4 linked regions of the Astyanax mexicanus genome follow. The protein of the gene in region 1 binds, or shares a complex with, the protein of each later gene. Links are inferred from orthologs where the notes say so. Each region holds a gene or a part of one and is shown in the gene's direction. Other genes may lie near its edges. The genes, in order: ints4, ints1, ints11 and ints2.

The links.
Region 2: ints4 (region 1) and ints1 share a complex: the UniProt entries of both Homo sapiens proteins name them as parts of the integrator complex. The link is inferred for Astyanax mexicanus from reciprocal best matches to the Homo sapiens genes INTS4 and INTS1.
Region 3: the proteins of ints4 (region 1) and ints11 are in contact, whole or in part, in a cryo-EM structure (PDB 7BFP), measured with the Homo sapiens proteins. The link is inferred for Astyanax mexicanus from reciprocal best matches to the Homo sapiens genes INTS4 and INTS11. Residues at the interface, in NP_291025.3 of Homo sapiens: Leu159, Asp161, Thr162, Arg167, Tyr203, Gln207, Asp244, Ser292, Gly294, Trp296, Arg299, Lys323, Met326, Ser327, Asp328; in NP_060341.2 of Homo sapiens: Pro183, Trp191, Lys194, Asp212, Gln288, Gln400, Gln404, Lys462, Met465, Ala466, Leu469.
Region 4: ints4 (region 1) and ints2 share a complex: the UniProt entries of both Homo sapiens proteins name them as parts of the integrator complex. The link is inferred for Astyanax mexicanus from reciprocal best matches to the Homo sapiens genes INTS4 and INTS2.

What each region holds. Positions count from the first base shown.
Region 1 is NC_064416.1:5,384,283-5,391,283, reverse strand, and holds the start of ints4 (integrator complex subunit 4), read left to right. Parts: upstream 1-3,993; 5' UTR 3,994-4,073; coding exon 4,074-4,127; intron 4,128-5,610; coding exon 5,611-5,808; intron 5,809-6,430; coding exon 6,431-6,548; intron 6,549-7,001. UniProt on the Homo sapiens protein: Component of the integrator complex, a multiprotein complex that terminates RNA polymerase II (Pol II) transcription in the promoter-proximal region of genes.
Region 2 is NC_064410.1:57,377,586-57,384,434, forward strand, and holds the start of ints1 (integrator complex subunit 1), read left to right. Parts: upstream 1-3,842; 5' UTR 3,843-3,955; intron 3,956-5,555; 5' UTR 5,556-5,585; coding exon 5,586-5,640; intron 5,641-5,744; coding exon 5,745-6,032; intron 6,033-6,849. UniProt on the Homo sapiens protein: Component of the integrator complex, a multiprotein complex that terminates RNA polymerase II (Pol II) transcription in the promoter-proximal region of genes.
Region 3 is NC_064420.1:440,169-447,610, forward strand, and holds the start of ints11 (integrator complex subunit 11), read left to right. Parts: upstream 1-4,417; 5' UTR 4,418-4,785; coding exon 4,786-4,813; intron 4,814-5,452; coding exon 5,453-5,550; intron 5,551-5,838; coding exon 5,839-5,912; intron 5,913-6,249; coding exon 6,250-6,478; intron 6,479-7,080; coding exon 7,081-7,179; intron 7,180-7,289; coding exon 7,290-7,324; intron 7,325-7,442. Other genes in the region: ceramide-1-phosphate transfer protein, read right to left, coding at 1,458-1,980, 2,793-2,905.
Region 4 is NC_064427.1:13,883,733-13,891,710, reverse strand, and holds the start of ints2 (integrator complex subunit 2), read left to right. Parts: upstream 1-4,962; 5' UTR 4,963-5,055; intron 5,056-5,333; exon of another isoform or gene 5,334-5,740; intron 5,741-6,530; exon of another isoform or gene 6,531-6,535; 5' UTR 6,536-6,536; coding exon 6,537-6,829; intron 6,830-7,281; coding exon 7,282-7,420; intron 7,421-7,654; coding exon 7,655-7,757; intron 7,758-7,978. UniProt on the Homo sapiens protein: Component of the integrator complex, a multiprotein complex that terminates RNA polymerase II (Pol II) transcription in the promoter-proximal region of genes.

The sequences.
Region 1 (7,001 bases):
TAAATTTCTCGCGTTTATGGTGGAAGTAGTTAACTGTTCAGCGCAAACAGATAGCAGAACTGAAAGGATTAGGATTATTCTTAGGGCAGCCGAGAAACATCTGGCTATGGAAGGTGTAACAGTTGACCAACTAAATGAGTCCTTAATGTCGCAGTTTGCTACTTCACAGTCTGTAAGTGGCATGTGATGGTGGCCCTTACTCTCCTGCAATGGAATGCGAGAAGTTTGATTGCAAATGGTTTGGATTTTAAGCAATATATTAATAGTAGCAATGAACGACCTAGTGTTATATGTGTTCAGGAAACGTGGTTAAACCCACGTCTGGATTATAGGATACAAGGATATGAGGTTGTCAGATGGGACAGGGTGACGGGCTCTGGAGGGGGGGTTGCAATGTTTATTAAACAAGATTTGAGTTATAAAATAGTAGAGGTGAATGCAGACTTTGAAAGTGTGATGGTGGATGTATGGGTCGGTTCCTGTTTTGTGCGGATTGTTAATTTTTATAATCCTTGTGACAAACTGAGTTTGGATATTCTTGAAAAAGTGAGTGGCCAAGGGTATCATAGATTTATATGGTGTGGTGATTTTAATGCACACAGTACTTTGTGGGGTTGCAAGGAGTCTGATCATAATGGTAGGGTGGTGGAAGAAATGTTAGAATGTACTGGCCTGGTGTGTCTTAATACAGGTGAAGGGACGAGGTTTGATGTGGCACGGGGGCAATTTTCTGCATTAGATTTGACCTTGACGTCTGGTGATTTGGCTGGGATAGCTGATTGGATGGTTAGGCAGGATGTCCTGGTGGGTAGTGACCATTCTCCAATTTGGTGTAGAATAGGTCTGGACCTAGTCCATGATATAGAGAAGGTAAAACGTTGGAATTTTAGGAAAGCAAATTGGGGTATGTTTTTGGATTTATGTGAGGCTGGGGTTAATGAGATTTCTTTTGAGGATGATGTGGAGACTTTTAATAATAAGATTCAGAATCTTTTGTGTAAGTCTGCAGTCAAGGCTATTGGGAAAACGAACAGTGGGAAGGGAAAGAAAGTTGTTCCGTGGTGGACGTCTGAGTGCTCAGCGAGTGTTAAAAGTCGGCGTAAAGCGTTTCGAGCTCTGAAGTCCCTTCATACCTTTCAATTGTTAATTGAGTTTCAAAAGGCAAGAGCAGTAGCTCGGAATGTTATTCGGAAGGCTAAAAGAAAGTATTGGAGGGATTTTTGTTCTTCTTTAGGACGACAAACATCTGTTGCTGATGTGTGGAGTATGATTAAGAAAATGGGGGGTAAACGGGTTGACTGTAGTATCCCTGTTCTGAAGCATGGGGCTGAGATAGCAGTGTCGGACCGAGAAAAAGCTGAGATTTTAGCAAAGACTTTTATTGCGATTCATAGTAATAATAATTTAACTGAAGACGCAAGGTTGTACAGGGAACAGCAGAATAGGCTAAATCAGTGTATTATTACGAGATGTGAGGATGGTGGACACCCTTTGGACGTCGAATTTAGTCTACTGGAACTGAAACAGGCATTAGAGTCAGCTAGGCAGACTGCACCTGGGAAAGATGAGGTCTGCTACATTATGTTGAGGAATGTATCAGATAGAGTTCTTCAGTGTGTTTTAGCTTTATTTAACAAAGTATGGAAGGAAGGAAGCCTACCCAATTCTTGGAAGCATGGTGTGGTAGTTCCTATAGTAAAACCAGGGAAAGACAAATCACATGCATCTAGTTATAGGCCTATTGCTCTGACTTCAAATCTGTGCAAACTTATGGAGAAAATGATTGTTAGACGTTTGTTGTATGAACTAGAGAGGAGGGGATTATTGTCTCCTTACCAGAGTGGATTTCGGAAAGGTCGTAGCACTATAGATGCTGTATTATACCTGGAATCAGACATAAGGAAGGCTCAGGTATCCAAAGAGTTTGTCATGGCAGTATTCTTTGACATTGAAAAAGCGTATGACATGATTTGGAAAGAAGGTCTTTTAGTTAAGCTGTATAACATGGGAATTGGTGGTAGACTATTCAATTGGATTCGGGATTTTCTTTTTGGGAGGTCTATCCAAGTTAGAGTAGGTGCTAGTTACTCTGCAATTTATTCTGTGGACAATGGTACACCGCAAGGTAGTGTCTGTAGTCCTGTATTATTTAATATAATGATTAACGATATTTTTTCTATGGTTGATTCAGGAATTGGAAAGTCATTATATGCAGATGACGGGGCTTTGTGGAAAAGAGGCCGTAATGTAGGGCAGGTCCAGAAGAAAATGCAATTGGCCATCAATGCGGTAGAAAACTGGGCATTTAAATGGAGTTTCAAATTTTCAGTGAATAAAACTCAGGCAATTTGTTTCACTAAAATGAGAAATGTTCCGAATGTTCAGCTACAGATGTATGGTCAGACTTTGACACAGGTCTCAGAAGTTAAGTATTTGGGGGTATGGATGGATGGTAAACTAACTTTTCAGTCTCACATTAATAGATTGGTATCAAGATGTAAACATAGTATTAATGTAATGAGATGTCTAGCTGGACTGGACTGGGGTGCAAGTAGGAAGGCGCTACTGCAGATATATTTCTCTCTCATTCGTGCAGCAATAGACTATGGTAGTGTTGTTTATGGGTCTGCCTCAAAAACTGTGTTGCAGAAGGTAGATAAAGTTCAGTTACAAGCATTGAGGGTATGCTGTGGGGCTTTTAGATCTTCCTCAAACCCAGCGATTTTAGTGGAAACGGGTGAACCACCGCTGGACCTTAGACGTCAGCAGTTAGCCATGTCCTACTGGGTGGGAATAAAAGGGCATGATATAGATCATCCTGCTAATATAGTTTTAAGGGATTGCTGGGAACATGGTGATAGCAGAGGTAAAAGTTTTGGGTGGATAGCGGGTGAATTGGCTCGGCAAATGAATCTGGAAAGTCTCTGTTTATGTAAAACTGTGATTGCGGCACCAATTTCTCCTTGGCTATTTCCAATGCCGGAAGTTGACTTAAAATTGCAAAATGAGTTTAAGAAACATGGGAAGCAGGTGATGAAAGATCAGGTAACACTATCATATTTAGATCTCTATTATAAATATGACCTCAAAATTTATACAGACGCATCTGTGGATCCAGATTCAGGAAGAGCTGGAGTATCAGTGTATGTTCCAACCTTTAAGACGGAACTTATTAGGAGAGTGTCAGATTATGTGGCAGTGTATACAGCTGAATTGGTGGCCATTATGATGGCCTTGCTCTGGGTCGAGGATGTACGGCCCTTGAGAACAGTAATATGTTCTGACTCTCAGACTGTTTTGAAAAGCCTAACGAACGGTCAAAAGTCATCAAGGATAGACATTATTTATGACGTCCTCATGATCCTTCTCAGGTTACAGCATTTGGGTTTATCAGTTGGCTTTCTGTGGGTACCAGCTCATGTGGGGGTGGAGGGCAATGAATGTGCTGATATGTTGGCAAAGCGAGCCCTTACGCTGGACTTTATTAATGTTTCAGTGCCCTTAAGCAGGCAGGAGGCTAAGCTGCTCATTAAAAAATATGTAACTAGGACTTGGCAAGGTATGTGGGATGGGGAACAAAAAGGAAGGCATCTTTATAAGTTTCAAAGGTTAGTAGGACAGAGAATAATTAGAGGTAAAAATAGACAGGAAGAGTTGGTACTTACTAGGGTACGTATAGGACATTGTGGACTGAATCAGAGTCTGTTCAGAATTGGTAAACATCCGGATGGCAATTGTCTGTATTGCTCTCAACCAGAGACTATAGAACATGTCTTAATACAGTGTGTGGCATATGATATACAAAGGGAAGAGGTGTTTGGAGGAGTTCGGGCAGTAGGGAATCTATCTATACATAGTATGATTCACGACACATATAAGTTGATTAAATTTCTTAAATTATCTGGGCTGTTTAATAGGATTTAGAATTCAGCATTTCATGTTCTATCCAGTAAGTGGCAGTAATGCACCAATGACAGGAGTGCTGGCTGCCATTAATTCGACAAAGAAGAAGAAGCGCGAGCTGGGACAGACAGAGCGCGCTGAGGCGAACCCGGCGGTGGCTGTTTGTTAAAATGGCTGCTCACCTGAAGAAGAGGGTTTATGAGGAATTTTCTAAAGTAGTTCAGGTAAATAAAACTCAGTTTATCAGAAATACACTGTATTACTCAGAGTTACACCGAGATAAGCGCTGCTGCAGGCCGGCTGGAGCGATTAGCTAACGGGCTAATGCTGCTCCGCGCGCCGGTGTTTTTAATCAGCAGCTCATTAACTACAGTCTCCACTACTCTTTATTTTCTCTTTATTTAAGAGTTTTTACGCGTTTTTTAGTGTTTTTTACTCAGTAATGTATTGATATGTAACTAATATAACACGCCAGGAGTGCTTATAAACTTATACATTTATTAAAAAGACCAAACCAAGCTAATAATTACTCAAACACTGTGTTTGAGACTGTTTACATAACGTTAGACAGTTTATATTAAGTAGTTCAGCCATTAGTATAAATAAGTCTATGCAGCTACCAGGTATACCTTCAAATAAAGAAATAATATTTCTGTTTAAGGTTACAAAAAGAAGGAAATTACTTTTAAATAATGTCCTACATCTCTAATGAAAAAGACTTAACGTTACCTTGTAAAAGAAGTATATATTTTAAAATTATGCCTGCTAAGTTAAGTACATACTTTTAGCATTAAAATAAATACGTTCACGTATATAAAACGTTTATTTTAATTGTAATTAAGCTATATTTGAATATAACAAAAAGCATTAGGCTGTGCTTTAAGTGCCTTTTTTAATAACGTCTGCAAACTTAATTAGATTTAAGTATATTTGTGTCTCTAAAGCATACTTTTTGATACACTTAAAGTATGTTGTAAATGTTCTACTTTCTCGTATTGCTGCACATATGCTTTTGGGGGGGAAAAACTACACTAAAGTGCACTTTAAGCAGCATTTAATGCCACTACATATATTTGATTATATATACTTGTATAACGTATAATTTAATGCATGTTGCTTTAAACTAAATCTTATAGAAATACAGAAAGTATATTAAATAGAAAATGCACTTTTAACCTTATTTACCTAATCTGAACATACTTTTAATGCTCCTAAGTATACTTCTTTTTTTTTTTTTTTTTTACAAGGGATAATATGGGTCTGCCCTTTTGTACCTTTTGTGTGTTTATATGTATACATGAATTAGGGATGGGCAATACTGTAAAAAATAATAATCACTTTAGTTTTTACATAATTTCAGTTTTTATTTGGAAACAGACAGCAGCATTTCTTTTTCATTTAATAAAACAAATCTGAATAGTAAGCAGCCCTCTTCAACCTTTCATGCGGCTTTTATATTAAAAAAGTGTAAACACAATCTTATATTTTAGTGAAAGAAAAGTGTAAAATATGAAAATCGCTGACACATAAGAGTTACTTAAAGGTTTCTAACAGAGTCAAATGTCTCTCTTCCGCTTCTATATCTAAATATATATTATAATCATTATCTCATTTCGAAAATCATTGTATTAAAACAATAATTTTATTCCTAGGGTTAATATAACTTATGTCATTAAATTATTTGTATTATTATCAATTTTCCTTAAGCAACAGCTTCTTGAAGAAGTACCGGCGAAGAAGCTCCGGCTGACCAAACCCAGTAAATCTGCAGCTCTTCATATTGACCTGTGCAAAGCCACCAACCCCACAGATGCCCTGCAGTATCTCCTCAGCTTCGCCCGTAAGCCAGTGGAGGCAGAAAGTGTTGAGGGTGTAGTTCGTATCCTTCTGGAGCATTATTACAAAGTAAGTGTGTGTTGTGAGTCGGGTAGAATTGTGTAACAATAGAATTATAACGTGCAATGCTTAAATTGCAGATTTTTAAATAAAACTTTATCAAATTCAATTTTCCCAGCATCAGTATTGACTTCTTTTAAAAGTAAGACATTTTTGCATGGCCATGTTAAAATGCACAGCTGATTATAGAGAAATAAAGTGGAAACTGATCAGATTTAGGATTATGACATTGCGTATTATGGATGTGACAATTCATCGATGCATTATAAATACGCAACATACAATTTATTTTTTTATTGAAACAAAGGCGCTCTTTGTGCTGTAAACTTAGACTCGCTCCCTATTACTATTTTAGGAATATTCTAGCCTCTTCAGTGACACAGATGCTGTGAAGTATTGTAGAGAATTGTCTTGTGATATATTGAATATCACAGAATCACAGTATCGTGATACCATCTTTATTGTGTGCAGCTTATCGTAATATCATATCATGCAATCCCTTGTGATTCACATCCTATTATATATATACAACAGAGATGTTATGTACATATACATTGTGATGTTTTTTGGTTTTGATTTCTGGATTCTTGCTAATGTGATACTTTTATTTTATAAATATGTTTTTGAACAGGAAATAGATAACTCGGTCAGGCTGAAGATTGCTTCATTGCTTGGACTGCTCTCCAAAACACCTGGATTCTCCCCCGACTGCATTGTGGATGATGTTATAAGCACCCTTAATAATGACAGTAAGTTATTTCCGTAGATGGACTGATAATTATTCATGAAGGAAATGGACTGCTAGTCTCTTATGCAACATATTAAAAGGAACAAATGCAAAACTCAGCCCCTATAAACACTCCAAGCACCAAAAAAATCCATCCATCCATTTTCTGTGAATCAGCTGAGTTTGGTCTCAGGAATCATAAACGTCTATGAGCTATTTGGTTGCTTCTCCTATATTGTAACGTCACCTTAAGGAAACCACCTTTCACCCGTTGACCCCCACCAGAGCCCCACCCACTAGATCAGTTGAAGAAATGCCATTTCACCTCAGACAGTACACTGCAGAATTAGCCAGCAGACTTCGTCTGAGGGAGGGATCTGTATCTACTGTCCTTGGCAGTTCAGCAGATGAGGAAGCTGTAAGGACTTTAAAATAATGAGTTTGAAAGTATTTACATCTACCTCATAAACTAGCT
Region 2 (6,849 bases), on another chromosome or scaffold:
TAGATCGGGCCAAAAAATCCAGAACAGCCCTACCCAAGCCTGCGCAGGTTCTGTTCGCGCCCAACCCGACCCTCCACATAAACTGTTATTAAGAGCCCAACATTTGTTTTAGCAATTAGAGCATTAAAAACTGAGCTTTTTAGCTACAATTCCTAGTTGTTTTAATGAGAAAAATCTGTGTAGTATGATGTCAGTGAACAGCGCAACATGGAAGAACAGGCCTATTGGTGTGGCACAGTGGCTAACACCACTACCTGCTTGTGAGCTACTAAATTACATGAGAGACTGGGGTTCAATTCCTGGTCTGGGTGACTTAATGCTTTGCTACACCAATAGGTGTCCTTGGGCAAGACTCCTAACACTACATTGGTCCACCTCTGTAATAGGAATAACCTTGTAAATCAGCTAAATGCCATATATGCAATGTAAATTTAAGAATTCTGTTCATTAAGAATTCCGGTATAATGCTATATTGTTATTATCACGCCATAACTTTATATAAAATAAAAAAACAAAACAAAATCTCAGACTATTTTCTTGAGCCTGATCCATTCAGGGCCCGAGGAAAGTGCTGGGGCTCAGGCAGAGAACCTGAATTGTATACCTCTCTATTATCCAAGGATTGCCTGTTTGAATCCCTGATGCTTCGACATCAGCAGCCTGAGTTCGAGAGAGCACAGTTAGCCATGCTTTATCTGGGTGGGTATAGTAGATGGCGCTCTCTCCAACAACGATTTGGGAAGCCGTGTTTTTTTGTGTTTTTTGGATACAATCCGAGTTAGCACCTGAACAGCCCTTTCAGACAGCTTCCTCTTACAGCGTCCACAGTTAATCCTGTTGGATGTGGTTGGTCCTTCTTGGTGGTATGCTGACATTACCCTGGATACCGTGGCTCTTGATGCATCACAAAGACTTGCTGTCTTGGTCACAGATGCTCCAGCAAGACGTGCACCAACAATTTGTCCTCTTTTGAACTCTGGTATGTCACCCATAATGTTGTGTGCATTGCAATATTTTCAGTAAAAATGTGCTCTTACCCTGCTAACTGAACCTTCACACTCTGCTCTTACTGGTGCAATGTGCAATTAATGAAGATTGGCCACCAGGCTGCTCCAATTTTGCCATGGAACCTTCTACACTAAATTGACAGGTGTTTTTTAGTTTCATTGTCCAACCCCTTGTATGTATGTCTATGTTATTTTTTAGTTCAGTGATGGCGGCGCTCGGAGCTGAAGCTCACGTTATAGGATGGGAAAATCGATTTATCGGGGCAGATTAGGCCCCATGTCAACTAGTCTAAAGGGTGTTGGGACAAACTGTTACAATTTCTGGATCTCTGAACGCTGTGGGAGAACAGAGCTGTTTTACTACATCAAAAGTCCATTTTACACCGGAGTTTTCCTTTAATCCCTCTCAGTGAAACTTCTCCACAGAGTTTTAAGGGTTAATATCTCCTCCTCATTGATAGAATAGGCCTACAAGGAGTGGGAAACTGTGCTGTGGTCATCTCTTGGTAATGTAGTGTAACGGGAGACCGGACGCACAGTATGGTGATGTTATTGGGGGGCTTTTATTAAGGCTGTCACTGAAAAGGCCAAAAGGATAGTCCCATTCTCTGTGCTTTTGCAGGACAGAGGGATACATTACCGCTATATAGTATACATGCCACTGTAGCCAGGCCTGTGTGTGTATGTGTGTGTAAGTGTGTGTGTGAGTGTGTGTGTGTTTTCACACCAGGGATCAGGTTACAGCACATGTTGTTTTGAGCAGCAGGGCCTTTACTGTGTATGTGTGTTCTGTGGTGTTCTCTTCTGGGTGAAAGTTCTGTTTTCTTTTGTCTGGCAGGCACATGTAATGTCTGTTTCCATGCCTGACATCATTTTGTAATGTGAGGATTCTTGGAAGCCGCGTTCCTCGCAGCTCTCAGAGTGTTCCAGTGTGGCAACAGTGCCACCCAGCCCTGCTCCGTTTACCAGAAACACTGGCGTATGAGGCTGCTGTACGTAATTTTCTTAGTGTGTTGTTAATTATATAAAAAATAGAAGAATCCAGAGTAAACGTGACTTTTTTTGTGACTCTTCGGCTTCTCGAGAAAACAGCCTAATTCAGTGTCTCCAGAAGAGCTCCAGTCATGGTTTATTCAGCAGGAGGTTAAGCTGATCAACTGGAATCAGAGCACTGCTGACTAACGTTTGGTAAAAACAGCAGTAGGGAACAGTTAGTTCAGGGGGGCAGCAATACACACCACTGTTTACTGAGGAGATGGGGTGTGGTGGGGTGTTTAGGGTGGGGTTTATGGGTTTTCTCAGTAATCCTCCTCTGGAAACAGCATGAAAATATATTGTAATCAAGCCATCCCTTGTGAAAAGGAAGTATACTTAAGAGCATTAAAAATATGTTTAAATCAGGTAAAGAATACTAAAAGTACATGTTTTAATTTAATATACTTTCTCTGTTTAATATAAATTCTGCTGTGTTTATGTAAGTTTCTAGATGTATGTTAGTTTCTGCACCTCTAATAGCACCCAAATGACCAGGGCCCAAATAAATAGTAAAATATCAAGCCAACCCTTGTAAAAAGGAATTATAGTTAAGAGTATTAAAAGTACTTTTAATACTCTTAATATAATTCCTGTTTACAAGGGTTGGCTTTATTTAGGTAAAGAATATTAAAAGTATTTTTTTATTTCATATACTTTACGAAAAAACACATATGTACTCTCTCTGTATTTCTGTAAAATGTATTTTTAAGCAATATGCTTTCAATTATATGCTGTGTTGACTGAAAACATATTGGCATTAAATACTGCTTAAAGTGCAATTTAGTGTATTTTCCCCAATTGTTTCCCAATGTCATTAAGGTATACACAATATGTGCATCAATATGCAAATTAGTACATTTACCATATACTTCAAGTGCATTAAAAAGGTGTTAAAAACACATACTTCAATCTACTTAAGTTTGCAGAAGTTATATAAAAAAAGCCGCACTCAAAAGCACAATCTAATGCTTTCATGTTGTATTTAAATATAGCTTAATTACAACTGAAATATACTTAAGTTGCAATAATTTGTTTCAAAATAGTCCATTTAGTATTTAATTTTAAACAGTATGTACTTTTTCATGTTAAGGATACTTTTAAAAAATATACTTAATACACTTATATTTTACAAGGGCATGTATAGTATAGTTATGTTGCTTGATTTTAGCAGTTTTTAATTAAAAAGTAAAAACTGGGGCTTTGACTGTCCAGCAAAATTACTATATTTCAGTAATTCAGTTCAAAATGTGAAACTCATATATTATATAGATGTATTACACAGTGTGATCTATTTTAAGCGTGTATTTCCTATAGTGTTGATGATTTAAAAAAAACTGTGTCTCAGAAAATTTTTATATTATATAAGACCAATTGGTACTTTTGGCAGTGTGGGCAGTGTGCCAAGTCCTGCTGGAAAATGAAATCCACATCTCCTCACATGGTCCCTTGATTTCCAAATGAAATATGAAATGTAAAATTTACTGATGGTCACTGATGGTTTGGAGAGCCATGTCATCTGCTGGTCAACTTTTTTTATGGAGATGCAGATTTCATTTTCCAGCAGGACTTGGCACACTGCCAAACGTATCAGTTGGTCTCCTATAATATTATAATTTTCTGAGACACTGATTTTTGGGTTTTCATTGGCTCTAAGGCTTAAAATAGATTACTCAGTGTGTAATACATCTGTTTAATATAGGAGTTTCACATTTCGATCTGAATTACTGAAATAATGCAACTTTTCACTGATAATTATTTATTTTTTGAGATGCACCTGTATACGGTAGTGTGGGGAGCTCCTGATCAGCAGGGGGAGGTAGTTGGTAGCCGGTAGCCGGTAGCTGCTCGCTGCTCTCAGGCTCTGGATTAAAGACAGCGCTGTTGTTATGATGGAGGAGCGGCTCTGAGACAGAGTGAGTTATTATTATTAAAATTACTGATTATTTCATATTAACTGCAGCTCTGAATCTGTATTGAGTTATTAATAAGTGGAGCAGGGCTGTAATGTGGGAATTTAGCTGTGTTACGGGCTCTTATTCTACAGTATTGTGCTGGAAACTCCTGCTAATGCTAATGCTAGTGCTAACCTAGCTAACGTCTCAATGAACTAACCTACTACAGTGAAGCTAGGTTAGCTAAGCTAAGCTAAGCTGCGTTAGCATGATTATTCTACAGACTTAAACACTTAATATAAGCCATATGATTAATTATTAGCTAATATATCTATGTTTCAACACCCAGACTATTAACTAGCTGCACATTATTGTTAAAATTGTATTATAGCCAAATATCCCAGCAAACACACAGCAAAACGGGCTAAGCTAACTAAGCTAGCTAAACTCTTAACCTACCTAATGTAAACATGCCACAAAAAGCAAGGGCTTTTGAGTTTGTTAGTTAGATTTGGTACTTCCTTGTTGTAACTGCTCCTTTATATAATACATCTTATACATTTTTAAAGCCTGTTAATTTCTATTTGAAATAAAACAACATTTGTAAGGAACATTAATTTGTAAGATGAGCAGCAGAGCTAAATATGTGGGTTATGCCCATGAAAAAAACTGCCAAATCTGCTTTGCCAGATCTAATATAAGTTAATATAAATTCTGCTGTGTTTATGTAAGTTTTTAGATGTATGTTAGTTTCTGCACCTCTAAAAACTCTCCTTAATAAAGAGGAGGTCTAGAACTTAGGACTGTATATTCGTCATCTTTGTCATCTCTAAATATGTAATATATCAAGTCACCTCTTGTAAAAAGGATTTATACTTAGGAGTATTAAAAGTATGTTCAAATTGGGTAAACAATACTAAAAGTATTTTTTTTATTTCATTTACTTTATGAAAACACATATGTACTTTTTAAATATTTCCATAAAATGTATTTTTAAGTAATAAGCTTTGAATTATACGTTGTGTTGATGGAAAAATAAGAAGTGACATTAAATACTGCTGAAGGATAAATAAGGTTGTCCACAACTCTTGGATTAACGGATTAAAATGTCATGCAAGTAAAGTGTCCTGTATTAAGTAACATTTTCTAGATGTTTTTGAATCTCTAAAATCTTCCTCATAGTAAGAGTTATTACACTGTTACAAAGTTATGAATACTCTGCCTCCTATCCGAGACACATTTTTATTATAGTTTTGAGAAGAATTTGGGTCTGAAACCTCTTCTTAAAATCAAATATAATTTAAATATTGGACTAACACCTGCAGAGCTTATTGCAACAATTTAATAAGGGTCTGCAAAGACAAGGTATTTGTTCATGCATGTCCACATTAATCCAAAGAAGAGTGTCTGGCATCCCCTCTCAGCTTATTATTTTCTGATGTAACTTCTGATTCTCCAGTTTTATTGCTTTAAACTCTCCAGAGTCGTTCAGATAATCATCGTGTTCGGGTGATCAGTGCTCTGAAGGGTGCTTCATGTACTATTCCTAGTGTTGTAGTATTCTCCATTTTAATGTTACGAAACTATATTGTCATGTAATACATGTTTATTTGTATTTCAGTTCTTAGAAGTTGAGCATCATACTGAAGTCATGAATCGACCAAAGCCAACCGGCATCAGGCGCCCGAGCGGGGCCAAAACATCAGGTACGTGATATGAGTTAGTTATGCAAATACAGTAAGAAGTAGTGAGTGTTTTGAGTCTGTATGTTATACATTTATACTGAATGATCTCCTCTGCTGCTCTTTAGGTCATCCTCCTCCAGGAGACTTCATAGCTCTGGGGGCTAAGAGCCAGGCCAGTGAGGCCAAGGCGAATCCAGCACTGCTGAAACCAGCTGCTGCGGGTTTACCGGCAGACCGCAAGAGAGAGGCTTCCTCAGCTCTGCCGTCCTCCTCAGGCCTGTCCAGCCTGGCTAAACGGCCGAAACACTCCTCCACCCCTCCCAGCGCTCTCTCACGACTGGCTGAAGTAGCTGCTGTTGACAAACGGGCAATATCTCCCTCCATCAAGGAGCCGTCTGTTGTGCCTATTGAGGGTGAGGCATTCTAGCATTTGCATTATTGCATTTTATTGCATTCAATGAGTCTAAAACTGAAATATCCACCTCATTCCACATGAACTGTCTGAACTGTAGTCTGAACTGCAAGTAGCTAAACTATCCCAGAATTCCAACAGAATATTCATTATTTAAAAAAAAAAAAAAAAAAAAAAAAAAAAAAATCATGACTACATAATTAGCTTTACAACACAGCACAGCAACATAACACAGAGTGCTGGATATAATATATTGAATATATCGAAGGAGTGATAAAATAAGCAGTGAATTTTTTTTGTAGATTGACATTAGGATAATATAATTTAATTGATGTAAATAGTTTGGCTGTATGTTTTAATTTTTTAATTATTGGGTGGTGATTCCACAACCTCAGTTATGTTAAATGCAGTAAAATAATGTAAAAAAATAAATGGTGCATAATGATGTTATACTAGACATTTCACATTAATTCATTGAGATCACATTAATCAAACCACGTCTTTGTACCATTTGTGAATGCTTGGATATCTCTGTTGCCATAGGCATTTGGAGATGCACTGTATGTCCAAATGTCTATGCACACCTCTTTAAATAAAGATAATTAAATAGATACTGGCACATGACACATAGAGTACCAGTCAAAAGTTTGGATCCATCACTCATACTCAGTGTATTGTAGATTAATACTTAAGTCGTATGAAGAAAAACACATAGAATTTTTTAGAAACTAAAAATGTTAAAAAAACAGAATATGTTTTATACTTTACGTTCTTCAAAGTAGCACCTTGTCCGTAGATACAGACAGTTTTGCACATCT
Region 3 (7,442 bases), on another chromosome or scaffold:
CCAAGCATTGTGCTCGCTCGGACTCTGGCTGCTGAGCCACTGGAAGCCCAAAAGAACCTCCCTAGCTTTCAATGGAATTCAACTGCATTCAAAAGCATTTCTATTGGTACAGTTTTACTGCTGCTGTAGTCTTTCACGCTGTTTACTCAAACTATATATCTATACAGCTCTGGATAAAAAAATGGAGAGAGCACATCAGTTTCTGAATGTTTGAGTAAAATTAACATTTTTGTTTTATTTTAAAAACTATGGACAACATTTCTCCCAAATTCCAAATAAAATAAATTTTGTAATTGAAAGCATTTATTTGCAGAAAAAGAAAAAAAAGATGCAGAGCTTTTAGACCTCAATCAATATTTGGTGAAATCAATATTGGGTGGAATAAATCTGGTTTTTAATCACAGTTTTCATGCATCTTGGTATCATGTTCTCCTCCACCAGTCTTACACACTGCTTTTGGATAACTTTATGCTGCTTTACTCCTGGTGCAAAAATGTATTCAAGCAGTTCAGTTTGGTGGTTTGATGGTTTGTGATCATCCATCTTCCTCTTGATTATATTTCAGAGGTTTTTAATTTGGTAAAATCAGAGAAACTCATCATTTTTAAGTGCTCTCTTATTTTTTTTCCAGAGCTGTATGATTATTGAAAAACTGTTGGTATTGAGTTTTAGCATTTAGTTGACCGTCGCCATGAAACCATGTGTTTGGTCAAAAAGAAAGAGAGATAAGTGTATAAAGTGATAACAGCCTAATATAGTCATTATACGATATGAGATGAGATCCAAGATCTCAGTAGTAGCGCCAAATAAAACCAGCATCATTCCACACAGTCATTTTACTACACTATCTACTACAGTTCAGGCCAAAAGTTTGGACACAGCTTCTCTTTTTCAATGCGTTTTCTTTATTTTCATGATTATTTACATTGTAGATTCTCACTGAAGCATCAAAACTATGAATGAACACATGTGGAGTTTTATGTTCTTAATAAAAAAGGTGAAAATAACTAAAAAAACATGTTTTATAGTTTTTCTAGTTTCTTCAAAATAAAAGCCCCCCTTTGCTCTGGTTACTGCTTTACACACTCTTGGCATCATTCTCTCAATGAGCTTCATTTAAGAGGTGGCCACCTGAAATGAAAAGTTTTCCAACAGTCTTGAAGGAAGGAAGGAGTTCCCAGAGGTGTTTATTAGCACTTGTTGCTCCTTTGTCTTCTTCACTCTGTGCTCCAGCTCACCCCAAACCTGGATCTGGATTGGGTTCAGGTCCGGTGACTGTGGAGGTTCAGCTCATTTTTTATTAAGTACATAAAACTCCACATGTGTTCATTCATAGTTTTGATGCTTCAGTGAGAATCTACAATGTAAATAGTCCTGAAGATAAAGAAAACGCACTGAAAAAGAGAAGGTGTGTCCAAACTACTGTATATCATCTACTGCTGCGTCTTCTGCTATATCTAGGGCAGCTCCAGCAGGTTGTTCTGGGCGTACAGGTCCTCTGTGATCTGATGCACCTCTGAGATCAGGGCTAAAGCTTCTCCCAGCAGGGCGACCACCTCCTGCTCACTGCCTGCGTTCATCACCTGGAAGAAGGAGTCCCGGCCGGGCAGGGCGCAGAAAGCCACGCCCGTCGCCTTCCTGATGATCCAGGCGTGGTGCTGAGCCAGAGACTCGTTGTAGGCGTCCGAGCACATGACGGAGGTCTTGCTCTCCTCGGTGCTGGTGCGCAGACGCTCCAGGAACAGCTCCAGCCAGAGCAGAGCGCGGTGCAGACGCAGGAGCGTCCGGCAGCCCGACTCCGGGTGACTGCTCCTCTTGGTCAGGTCCACCAGCTCGTTCTCCAGCTCATACTTCACCATCGACTGCACCGTGAGGTAGTGAGAGCCGGACTCGCCGGCCTGGAGATTCTCCAGAATCTGGATTTTATTCACCGCGTCCTTAGAGATGAAGGAGAACACGGTTCCCAGACTGTTCATGAAGCTGGAGGGAGGAGAGGAGACGAATTATTACATTTTATTACTGATTTACAGTGCAGATTTCTTACTTACATACTTAGATAATCAACAGATTATCAAACAAACTTTAATATCAGACAAATATCAAACATAACCTGAGTAAATATAAAAAGCAATGATGATAATAAATTATGAATTTGTGTACTAAGGAAAAAAATGAGAAAAGTTTAAAACACATACACTAACACTTTAAAACACCAACACATCATTTCATAAAAAGAGCAGCATCATATTAAACGTAAAACATGGTGGTGGTAGTGTGATGGTCTGGGGCTGCTGGACTACATGTTGTAATAGAATAACTTTATGCTGCTTTACTCCTGGTGCAAAAATTATTTCAAGCAGTTCAGTTTGGTGGTTTGATGATCAGCTTGTGATCATCCATCTGATTATATTGATTTTATTCCAGAGTTTTTTTTTTATTTGATAAAATCATAGAAACTCATAATTTTTATGTTCTCTCTCATTTTTAATAAATTTGCTGGTTTAAGTTCCTGTAAAATGTAAAAGACAAAAGCAAAACATACTTTAACATGATTTCACTGTCCCTTTTTTAAAGTTTGATTTTTTTTTTTATATATATAACCTTTTCTCAGGACTGATTTTTAAGTGGTCTCTTATTTTTTTTCAGAGCTGTAAATAAGTATTTTATTATTTAATATTATACTGATCATATAAACAGTTTATATTTAATACAGTATTAAATAAAGCTCTAAAATCCTGACTGTACAGACTGTAGAATAAAGAAATAAGGGAAAAAAGAGGTTTGTCCCATACCTGACCAGCTCCTTCCACCCTGCTATATAATACTGGATATATATTTCCTTATTCTCACTCAGGCTGGATTTAAAGGTGTCCAATACATTCTGTAAACTAAACGACTCTGCCATGATCCAGATCTGCTACTAAACCAGCTGCGGATGAGCTGAGTGGAGATACGAGCTCAGGATATTAAACTTTAGGAGTTTTTACAGATTAAAACATCAGAGTTTATCAGCCTGATCTGATTCTACTGTACCTACTAACCCGGTCTGCTCACCGGCTGCGCTCCAATATCACACCCTGTGTCCTACCAAGGGCGCTCAGTGACGTGCTCAGAATTCCACCCGTCAGATTAAAGGACTTACCGAAACAAAAAAATAGTCAGATGTAGATTTTGTATTTACTCAAAACCTATTGATATTTTTTTAAAAACAAGTCATTTAAAATAATACAATTTAAAATTTATTTGCTTTTGAAAACGTATAAAAAACATGTTTGAGCATTTTGAGCGTTGTAATATATTGTTTTAAATTAATACTTTTGTCTAAATGTATACTTATTTTCACTTACAATAAAAGAAAATAAGTGAGCATTCAAGAACGGAAAGTGACGATGTAAAACACTTCTTAATCTTTATCTATTTTTCTATTTTTTTGTGAAACTATTTTGTGAAACTATGGTCAAGATAATTTTTAATAATACAGTCAAGTAGTTTTATTGTCAATACTGCATATGTACAGGACATACAGAGGATTGGAATTACATTCCTTTCCTTCCCAAAGTTACAACAAGTACAGCTAAACGAAATAAAAAATAAATAAAAAATAACAATATTGTAAAATAAAAAAATAAATAAATATGAATAATGTGTTTTATATATAATAATAAATAAAATATAATGTATATAATAAGAAATTTTCTCTTACTTTTGAAATCGTATTTGTTTGTTTGTTTGTTTCTATATAGTAACTATATTTTTAAGTTTTATTAGATTTTTATAGTAATTTATCTTATAGTTTTTCTTACGGTTTTTTTGGTAAGACTTTTATTTAGCCGGGTTGTAGATTGCGCAGTGTGCACCCTCTGGGAGCGTTGGTTTGGGACGCAGCCGGTTAAGTATTTAGTCACTCTTCCGGATACCTAAAGACCAGAGCTGGCAGTTCCACCAATCAAAGCAGACTGTTATATTACGTGCTTACTTTTAAAGCAAGCGATTGGCTGGAGGTCAGTGCATCAATCGGGTTCCGCCGTTTTGAGCTGTGGTTTATTTTTGGGGACTTTTATGTTGAATAAAAATTAAATAAGCGATATTATTTTGTTATTAGGTTATCCATAATTTTAATAATAATGATAGTTAATATATAAAATATATGTACATTAACTGTATTTTTTTCTTTAGTTTAACAAATTATCTTGTATTTTATCATACGTCTTATTTGTTTGTTTGTTTATTACATGTCTTTTTCGATATTCTAAGACTAAATTCTAATATTTTTTTATAATATGGACATTTAATATATGTATTTATATAATGTATAATGTAATGTATTTAAATAATATTTGTTCCTACGTTAAAAGTCCTTTGGCATTTTCACCAATCAAGCAGGCTGCTACATCACGTGCTCAATTTTGAAGCGGACGATTGGCTGGAGGTCAGCGGACCAATCGGGTTCAGTCAGCATGTCCGCTGTTTAGTTTTGAGACATTTATGTTGAATTAAATTAAATTTATATGTTTTTTATCAGTTTATCCGCCTGTAAACAGCGTGATTTGAGTTATTTAGATGTAGTTTATTGTGTTTATGGTGTTTAATATAGAGGGGAATTTGGAAGCGTTCAGTATGTAGTAAACTAGCAGCTCAGTATAAGAGTGTGTTAGTTAGCCGGTTAGCCGGTTAGCTTCTCATCTGTAGCATAAACTAACGTTACAGTAAATAAACCAGAACTACAATAATAATATTAATATTATAAGAATCTCCTAAAGCTCATAAAGCTCCTGAAGCTTCATCATGCCGGACATTAAAGTAACTCCGCTGGGTAAGCTGCGTTTCTGTACTGTTTATTGTTCTTACTTTTTATTCATTTATTTAGGTTTTATTTGGATTATTATGATCTTAGTTCTTTATTATACCTTCTACTATTATCACTCTGTCACTTATTACTCATTATTTTATTTTATCATTTACTTTTACTATTTTTATTTCTATTATCTATATTATTTTTATGAATTTCTTTATTTTAAATTTGATAAATGCTTTCACTTTTTGTGTGTTAATTTTTTATGGTCGTTTTATTTAGATTTCCCTCTTTTATATGTATATATTAATATATTATACATTTATATTAAATGTATTTATTTGAAGTGTGTATTTATTTTATGTATTAAAAATTTTAATTTTTTTATATAATGTTTTCAATCCCTTTTATACTGTAAATCCTCGGCTGCAATGTAAATAAGGGTCACCCTCAATGTACTCCAGAGTTAAAATAAAGGATAATTGATTTGATTAATTGATTGATTGACTGATAGATTAGAGCTGAAACTGTATAATTTACTAGGATACAGTTCGTGTTCTGAATCCTATAATCTCAGTAATTCTGTAATAATAGTTAAAAAGTCTGTGTTTTCAGTATTAATATGTGTGTGTGTGTGTGTGTGTGTGTGTGTGTGTGTAGGAGCTGGGCAGGATGTTGGGCGCAGTTGTATCCTGGTTTCTATTGGAGGAAAGAACATAATGCTGGACTGTGGGATGCACATGGGCTATAATGATGATGTAGGTTAAGCTACTGAAACTTACTGGAACTGAACATAAAGCTGACTGAGAAAATGTTATATCTTAAATATAAAACATATTCTGGTTTGTTTAAGTTTTTTTGTTTACTAAATAATTCCAGATGTTTCTCTTTATAGTTTAAATGAGTTTATTGTTAATCTACAATAAAGGAAATTAAAGTAATGATAAAACACAACATGTAAAGTGTGTCCAAACTTTTGACTACTACAGTAAATTGATATGGTTTTTCCATAGTTCATTTATTTTTTGCTGTTTTTTTCTCTTTAGAGACGTTTCCCAGACTTTTCCTACATCACGCAGAACGGACGCCTCACAGAGTTTCTGGACTGTGTTATTATCAGGTAAAAACACAAACCATCAAACCACCAAACTGAACTGCTTGAATTTTTGCACCAGGAGTAAAGCAGCATAAAGTTATCCAAAAGCAGTGTGTAAGACTGGTGGAGGAGAACATGATGCCAAGATGCATGAAAAGAAACTGTAATTAAAAACCAACCAGGGTTATTCCACCAAATATTGATGATTTCTGAACTCTTAAAACTTTATGAATATGAACTTGTTTTCTTTGCATTATTTGAGGTCTGAAAGTTCTGCATCTGCATTAAAAAATAGAACATTGACAGCACTGCTTTAAAGAATTGATGAACTGATTTCTGATTGGCTGCTGATCTCTCACAGTCATTTCCACCTGGACCACTGCGGCGCTCTGCCCTACATGAGTGAGATGGTGGGATACGACGGACCCATCTACATGACCCATCCCACCAAGGCCATCTGTCCCATCCTGCTGGAGGACTTCAGGAAAATCACTGTGGACAAAAAGGGGGAAACAAACTTCTTCACGTCTCAGATGATCAAAGACTGCATGAAGAAAGTGGTTCCACTCAACCTCCACCAGACCGTCCAGGTGAGTAACTAAACACACTGTTCATCAATCGGCAAGTCGCTTTAATCAATAAAGATTTTTTCCCCCCATAATTTCTATAACTAATATTGCGCATCATTAAAAAGATTCTTACATCGTACTAGTCTGCACTTCTTGAAGGTTAATAATTGTTTGCTCAGTATATTAAAGGAAGCTATATATTTATCGCATTGTTTATTTACTTGAGTTCAAATATCAAACAGTGCACACGGTTATGAAGCGCTTCCCTGCAGGCACAGAACACTGTTAGACTTTATCCTGACGTAAAATATTTGTCGTTTGGCGTCATGACCAACATTCAACCTGAAATGAACGTCTATTGGACGTTGTTGGCCAGCTCGGTTATTAATGGGTATTTACATGTAAATAAATGAATTTGATTTAGATGAAATTGGCACGGCTTCTTCAGAGTGTGAGTAGATCCAGACTTTAGAGCACCTCAGCCTGTTTACCTCGCTGTGTGTTTCCTCTGTTTCATGCGAAGTTTCTAAAATGAGCAGCAGAATTTTCTCTTGATTATGTCCCGGAGGTTTTTGGTAAAAGACAGAAACGCCGCTGGTGTTGTTGTTATTTTTGTGCTCTAGGTGGACGATGAGCTGGAGATTAAAGCGTACTACGCCGGTCATGTTCTGGGGGCGGCGATGGTTCTGATTAAAGTCGGATCGGAGTCTGTGGTTTATACTGTGAGTAATAATACTATAACTGTTTTCTGCTTCAATAAAAGCATGTGGAAATATTATACACTCTTTTTTTTAATACATGTATAATTTAATATATGTGATTTGTCCTACAGGGGGATTATAACATGACCCCAGACAGACACTTAGGGTAAGCATTGTTTTTCCTTTTTATATTTATATATTTAGTTATTCAGACTGTTTTTCTAATAATATTTAGATGTCGGAATTGGATTTAAAAAATATTTTAAAGTCTTTCAATATGATTA
Region 4 (7,978 bases), on another chromosome or scaffold:
CTGTTGTGAGTGAGTGGAATGACCTTAATGGGCAGGGTTTATTCCCAGCAGCCAATGACAGGGTCACAACCGGATTTCTTATGAAACAGATTTCTTACGAACTTTGTAAAAAAAAAAAAAAAAAAAAGCTGCACAAGAATGACCAGTACATGTTTTGAATATATATGTGTTATTAGATTTAGAGATTTAAAAAAGATAAAAAAAAAAACAAGCAAATGGCACCCAATCAGTGGAATGGACCATATGGTGTTTTAGGGCCATACCAAAAAAACAAACAGTTCACTTCGAGAGTAAAGACAAAATAATTACAAGAACAAATTTGTTATATTATAAGAATAAAGATGTAATTTTACGAGAATAAAGACGTTACATTACGAAAATAATGTTATATTATGAGAATTTCTTACGTCTATTCCCATAATATTAAGTCTTTATTCTCGTGATATAACGTCTTTATTCTTGTAATATTATGTCTTTATTCTCATAATATTAGGACTTTATTTTCTTGTTATATTACGTCTCAAAATATAACAACTTTTTTCTCGTAATATTACGTCTTTATTCTCGTTACGTCTTTATTTTCGTAATAACTACGTGCTATAGTGTGAAGGTGTAAAATGACGCAACCACTAAAGCATACCTTCATTGGCACTATAGCAAAGCCGTTTAAGTTTTGACTCCTGAACCATAGGTTCTATTGACAAAATTCTTTTTTTAGGCTTATTAGGCTATGAGGTTCCGCCCAATTAATAATTTGCATAATATGCAAAACCTACTTTGGCAAACTAGTCCCAAATCCTGACATGTTTAATGTCAAACAACTCGGCAGAGTACAAACCTTAATAATTATCAAAAAAGTTAAAATTTGCAAACAATATGTTCGTCATATGCAAATTAGTATTACCATGGCACAGCCAAACTAACTCTTACAGTTACATTGAATGCTTAACCTGACAGTAAACCCACTTCAGACCTACTAGCATGATTTTGAGGTACCTGGTCAAATCATGTAGACATAGGGGAGACTGTCATTCCGATAGTCCAAGGAAATGTTCAAGCCACCGACATCATTTATCTTCAAACTACAAGGAAAAGTTAAATTCTGAGATAAAGTATTTTTATTTTTTATTTTTTGTCTTTTGCAATTGCTGTTAATGTTGTAAGTGTTATATCAGGTGAAAGTACAGTTTATGGAGTAATGAATGGTGTAACTGTCTCTTGCTAATGTTAAAGCACCATGCTTATTTAGCTAGCTAAACAAAGAATGACAGGGGTGGGGTAGGTTGTAACAAGACTTTTTGGAAATGTTACAACCATCCCCGGGCATTAACATTATAGTTTTTTTTGTGATTTTAATTCTCCAGAATGCCTAGAATGGGTGAGGAAAACAGAAAGAGGAGTGGATGCCAAAATTCTAGAAAGAGCAGCAGAGGAGGTTAAGAACGGACAATCAGTCACTTTGTACAGATACTACAGAAAAATTCAAGGTTTTAAAAGACCAGGGCTCAAAGGACCTTCCACGTGTTGGATATGTCAGTCCTTTTTTGAGCAAATTCAATTGAATTTTTGGTTAGCACTAAATAAATAAATGAGTAAATAAATAAAATAAATAAATAAGTAAACAAATTGGCAAATGAAATGAAGTTCCATTGTTTTCTTTGTATTTTTGTTTATCTGTTACAACTGACCCCGGCAGGTGTTACAACCTACCCCGGTAGTGGGATGATTGTAACAAAAGAACACTCTGTATTTGACATGATCTGACAAGTTATGGGATATAATGGAGGACATTTAAATGGTTATAATTTGTAGTAGACAAATGTGGGTGCTTTGTCAAAAAGTTTCATATCTGTACCTTTTTAAAAATAGGTAGTTTGGGGTGTTTTCCAAAAAGTGTTACTTTCATACCCGGTCTCCCCTATGCCCCCAAGGGGCGGAGCCAATGATGGAAAACCATACAAGAACCATACAAGCTACCAAGCTCATAGTTGGCAAATACCAGTGAGGGCTTATCTACTAATGGTACTCTCAGAGAGAATTTGATATTAAAATTTTTGTGATCGCTATTAGATTCCATCAAGCTTTTGACAGGCTAAACATTGACCAATGACGACGAAACTTATTGTCTTTATGTAAATAAGGGCCTCCTATCATCCATTAAAGTATTGAATTGATTGGCCTCTCGGGGGCGCTATAGCAGAAAATCAGTTAAATCAGAATATACTTGTAGCATAAGCATATTATTCTTTTTGATTTTTATGCATTGCTGAAGCCTTTGTAATTACATATTTCTACCAAAAATGCATTGTTTTTCATCTGTGGCCATTAGTGTAAAAATTACACTTTTCGAAACTTTGAATATTCAACCAAGTAAATCAGCATTGGCCTTGCTGCAATCTTGAGAGGTAAATAATTATCAAAAAAAATCTTGAGATTTTAACTTTTTGTGGCACCAACACCTTGATCAAACAGGTACGTGAAACTCTGTCAAAGTTTATGTCATGTCAAAAGTATTGAAGACTCCAATAAACAATGACATTTCAATCCCATGTGCCAAGTATGAGCTAAGTGAGTCTTCAGGAGGCTCTACATTGACAAATTAACTATTGTACATTTTTACCATTTATCGCTATTTTTTAACCTAAATGGACAGGAGACAGGAACCTTTGGGCCTATTAACATACAAATTTACATACATATATATACACTGATATTATGATCTTGATTCCCAATTTTAAGTCATATTGGATTTTTTTCCCTATAAAAGGCCACAAAATCTACTGTGATTGTGAAGGTTTGAGGCCTAATGTATTGCTATTTTCAAAACTAAAAGACCTCAGCTTTGACCCTATCAACACAAAAGCTTAAACATATATATACAGACTACCTGATCATGATTAATAATGTTGAGCCAAATCGGACTTTTCTCTACAATCATTAAAAATCTAATGATAAGCATATTTCTCTCTCACAGATGGATAGATTCTCAGCAGGTTTTATATGGTGTCTTGCTGCACTCTGGTGGTCATTTGGTGAAACAACTGCAATTTATTAATTTTAAATTAAAGCTCTGCTGAACTCTCTAGCTCATTTGAACTTGCTGGTCTTGCTGGTTGAACATCTTTATCCTTCTTGGTCATGCTGGTCAGCCACATTGGTCATTCTTGTTGTGCTCCACCCACTTAGGTTTTTTGCAAATTTGCATAGTATGCAAAACATACTTTTGAGAACTTCTCATTGGCTCATTGACCAATCATGACATGTTTGGTGTCAAACAGCTCAGCAAAGCAAAAGCCTTAATAATTATTTTAAAAATATTGAACTTTATAAACAATATGTCCGCCATATGCAAATTAGTCCTTCCATGGTGCAGCAAAATGTCTTCTAACACTTACAACTTTATTAACATTAATACCACTTCAGTCCTTTGATCATAACATGATTCTCAGATACCCTGTCAGTTTATCCAGACATACACCACAGGAGTGTTACTCTTTCTCTAGAACCATACAAGCTATCAAGTTCAGCCTTGGCAATTATCATCTATTGTCTATGTACTAATGGGACGACAAAGGAAAAATTGATGTCATTTTTTGTGGTCACTATTAGCCACATTCACATTCCAGCAAGCTTTTGACAGGCTGAATGTTAACCAATCAGGTCAAAACTTATACACTATATGTAGGCTATTTCCAATTTAAGAACTGGAGTTGTTTCTTCAAATGACCACTAGAGTGCAACAAGACACCACATAAAGCTGCTGAACAATATACCTCAATTGATCAGTGTTTTTCAACTAGTTTAAAAAATAAATGAGTGTGGAAAAATCCACAGCAATATTTGTCCTTCTTTAGGATTTTGACAGTCTTAGTGTGTATTAGGTATGATAGTTTTCTAGACGACTTAAGACTGACGAGATAATGGCCTGGGAATTAGGCCAAAAGTGAAAGCTATAACGTTTTAATTAATATCATCTAATTTTATTCATATTTTATTCCACTTCGCAATGTGTTCTGCCCTTTATTCAGAGCGTTTGCACAGCGCTTTGCTTGCATGCTGTTTTTTACTGTTAAAATGCGCCATCTACAGGCGGCCGCATGTATGTTCAGCCAGCATGAACGGAAATCTGAATAAGACACTGGCGAATAAGAAGCTAACTTCAGCCTCGTGCGTCCAGAAACCCCAAAAGTGTCTCCTTTTTCCTACCGGTCCTCCTCCTCTCCTCCGTGACCCGGAAACTGATTTCGTAACGCCATCTTGCCGCCTGTCCGAATACCGTAGGAGACGAAAGAAGCCGCTTAAAATCTGCCTCGAATAGGCTTCCAACAGAGGTTACATCAGTGCATCCTACTCCGGAAGACTTTTAGTGATTTTCCAATGACATCACTGCATCCACGCCCACAGAGCACGCGGGAATGGAGAAGACAACGCACAAATGTACTTCATAAGCATATTAATTAACTAGGTTCCTTGTCTAATTAAACAGCCAGTAAAGCAGTAATAAAATGTTTAGTTTAGGTAAGCTGTGTGTTCAGTAAAACTATATTAATGACCCTATATGTAACATATTGTTGTAAATATACACATCATTTCCACATGTATGAAAAATATATTTATTATTATATTTATTATTTATTAATTAGTTTTTTTGTTTTATTACATTCAATGTAATCACATTTTACTATTAAAATAATTTAATATTTACATATGCAACCTTCATCAGGCTGTACTTTTAAAGCTTAATATGCTTGTCAAAGTTATGATCTCTAGAATTTGGAATTGTGTTTATTGATTTCTCGTTTTTATTTTTGTATGCGGAAGCTGTGATTGGCTGGGCAGTATCCGGCATGTGCTGAAAGTGAGCGTTGTGATTGGCTCAGTTCAAAGGTGGTCAACATCCTATCTAAAAGGGATCAGCTGTCCCATTTCCCCAATTACAGCTCCTTCCCTCCATTCCTCCACCTTCTTCTGGGTAGGAGAGGAGTAGCAAAAGTTGCTGGACGCAGCCAGTGTGTGAAGTGAACTGTTTTTTTTTTGGTATGGCATTAAAACGACGTACGTAACGTAACTGTTCTAATTTTGGAGTTTCCATTAGCTGTAAGCTAATCAACATTAAAAGTTGAATAAATAAGCGCAATGAAAAGATAACTAAAATACGGAAATAATAAACAATTTAATTATATTCTATTTTTTAATGCACTTGTATGTAATATTGAACAATTTCCCTGAATAAAATAGATTTCTCATTTGTTTGATTTGCTTCATAGGATATGTGTGCACAATGTATGAAAGGGGTTTACAAACTTCCAAACGTCCACTGCAGCTCGGTTAGCTAACCGAGGTCATCTGCAGAACATGAGTGCTTTATTTCCCGAGGTCTAGCCTTGTGTTGTACTTGTTAGCCTCCTAGCCCGGCCATCCGCTGCGCTGCAGCTCACAGAACAAGCTAGTCGGTACTGAGCGCTTCGCAGAAGAATTTAAACTAATAGAAGTATAAACAGTGGTGGCTAGCTAACGCTACTTGTTTTAGGAATAATTAAATAATCTGGTTCGTTAACTGTAGATCAGCTTCAGGCTTCGCTAACGTGCATGAGCTAAGTGAACGGTTCGGATCTCGTTGAATGGCTTTCACTGCTAGCCAGCTTGTTAGCCGAGTGTGTCGGCTTGAGGTGCCACGGCATTGTCTGCCCGGGCCTCGCTAAAGTCTCTCAGATTTTTACAAGCTGCTGTAAAGTTCCAGGTAAGAAGTTCTCAGTTACATAAACAATATTCTAGTGAAGCGTGGCACACAGCTGCCTGGTAGCTAAAAACTGGTGTAGTTAACCACTATCGTTTGTGTTGGACTGAGCTAGCTAACTAGCCAGCCAACGCTATGCTTACTAGCTAGCTAGCTATCTTCACTTCAGACTTCAGCGAGGTTAAGAATAACGTTTGCGCATTTAAGCAAATGGTTTTAGTTCATTTTAGTTGCACAACCACGAGTACTTACTAAACATGACGCACTTAGTTAGGTAACTAGCAAAATTACTGCTCTCTATATTTACTATTGTTAGCTAGCAAGCTAGCCACTTAACCTAGCTCGGTTATGTAGCGTTAGCTTTGACTGATTCCTTTTTTGGTGGACTACTTTAGGCTGCAGGGTTTATTACATTAAGTCAACTTTCACATGTGGAACATAGGCTGGTTGGGTAGGTTTCAGGTGGGCATGGGCTCTGAGTGGGTTTGTGCTGGTTTTTATTGTTTACAGGCACCAGTGCAGTGTACAACAACGATGGGGCCCATGTTTAATCCCTCCTGGTTGTATCACTTCAACGATTTTCTTCTGGTTTTCAACTGGGCTGCCCAAGCCACATGGACACGTTATCTGTAGGCTTAAAATAGTTATAAAAACTCGCTGCATTGAATAACTATGCAAAATACCTAAACGTGTGAATGCAGCTAAAAATTTGCCAAATTAACTGGATATGTCTAATCTCTAGTGTTGGTGATGATCATGTAACTTCCCTGTGAACTTGTGTTTCCTTTTGCAGAGCAGAATGACAGAAACTTCAGGGCTTCAGTTTGTGAGCCCATATGCCTTTGAGGCCATGCAGAAGGTGGACGTGATGCGCCTTGCAGCTTTGAGTGATCCTGAGCTGAGGCTTCTGTTGCCATGCCTGGTGAGGATGGCACTGTGTGCCCCTGCTGACCAGAGCAATGCCTGGGCACAGGATAAGAAGCTCATCCTGCGCCTGCTGTCCGGTGTAGAGGCAGTGAACTCCATAGTGGCACTGCTTTCTGTGGACTTTCATGCCCTGGAGCAGGATGCCAGGAAAGAACAGCAACTCAGGTGAATCCCCAAGGACCCATCAACATTTTAATACGCTAGGGTATTTCTGGGGCTATATAGTTTCCTGTGTACATGAATGATGAATGATGAAAAAACATGCATTCCTGTTTAGATGAATAAAATTGTGCTTTAGGAATTGTAAAAGGCCTTTCTAAAATAGTTTTGCATTTAAACACTTTCTCCACTGTCCATGTTGGTTTGCAGTATTCCTATGAGGTTTGTTTATGGAAAATTGATTGGAAAACCTGAATGTGGTACGTTAGGACACAGTTGGAGACCTTGTGTTTTAATAGTATATATTTATAATAGTATCGATTGTCCAAAAAATAGAACTTCACATTTCCCTGGTTGTTCTATTGTTCTCATTGGAAGTGTTACCTAATTAGATGTTTTTGTTTGTTAACAAAAAAAACACACCAACCATTTAAATAAGTGTTGTCTTCTCATTACAGGCATAAGGCTGGAGGGTCAAATGGCGAGAGTATCCTTGTTTCCCAGCTGCAGCATGGGCTTACACTGGAGTTTGAACACAGTGACCCACTAAGGAGACTCAGACTGTCTCTAAGTGAGCTGCTGGCCATCATGAACAAGGTTCTTATGTCAATGTTTTGTGTGGACATGAACAACCCACTTGTGCATTTTTATTTCAAGCGTAGAGAGGCTCATTACATCTGAGTTCAAGTATACAGTGGAGTAAAATTCTGTTTCTCTAGAGCTATGGGGAAACATGGATCAAACAGCATAATATTAATAATTGAATACAACAGCTTTAACTGATTATATCATCCAAGATATCTAATCAAATCAGTTTTATTTGTTATACAGGTAGCTGACTCCAATGGGGAGTTTTTTCTAAAGACCTCTGAGCTATTTGAGAGTCCTGTGTACCTGGAAGAGGTAGCCGATGTCCTCTGCATCCTTCAAGCAGGTAGATATTGTAGCTGCAGTTTACTTTCTGAGTACTTTCTGGAATTTCCAAGTAAAATATGCTTACTTGTAAATCTGCTTTTACTGTAGCTGCTAATGCTTTTTAAAATTAATGGATACAAGATCTCATCCTCTCACAGCTGATCACTGAGTCAACCCAGCCAAACCTAAAAAAAACCTCCAAATCTACCCTGATTGATTTAATCTTTTCTAACAAAACAG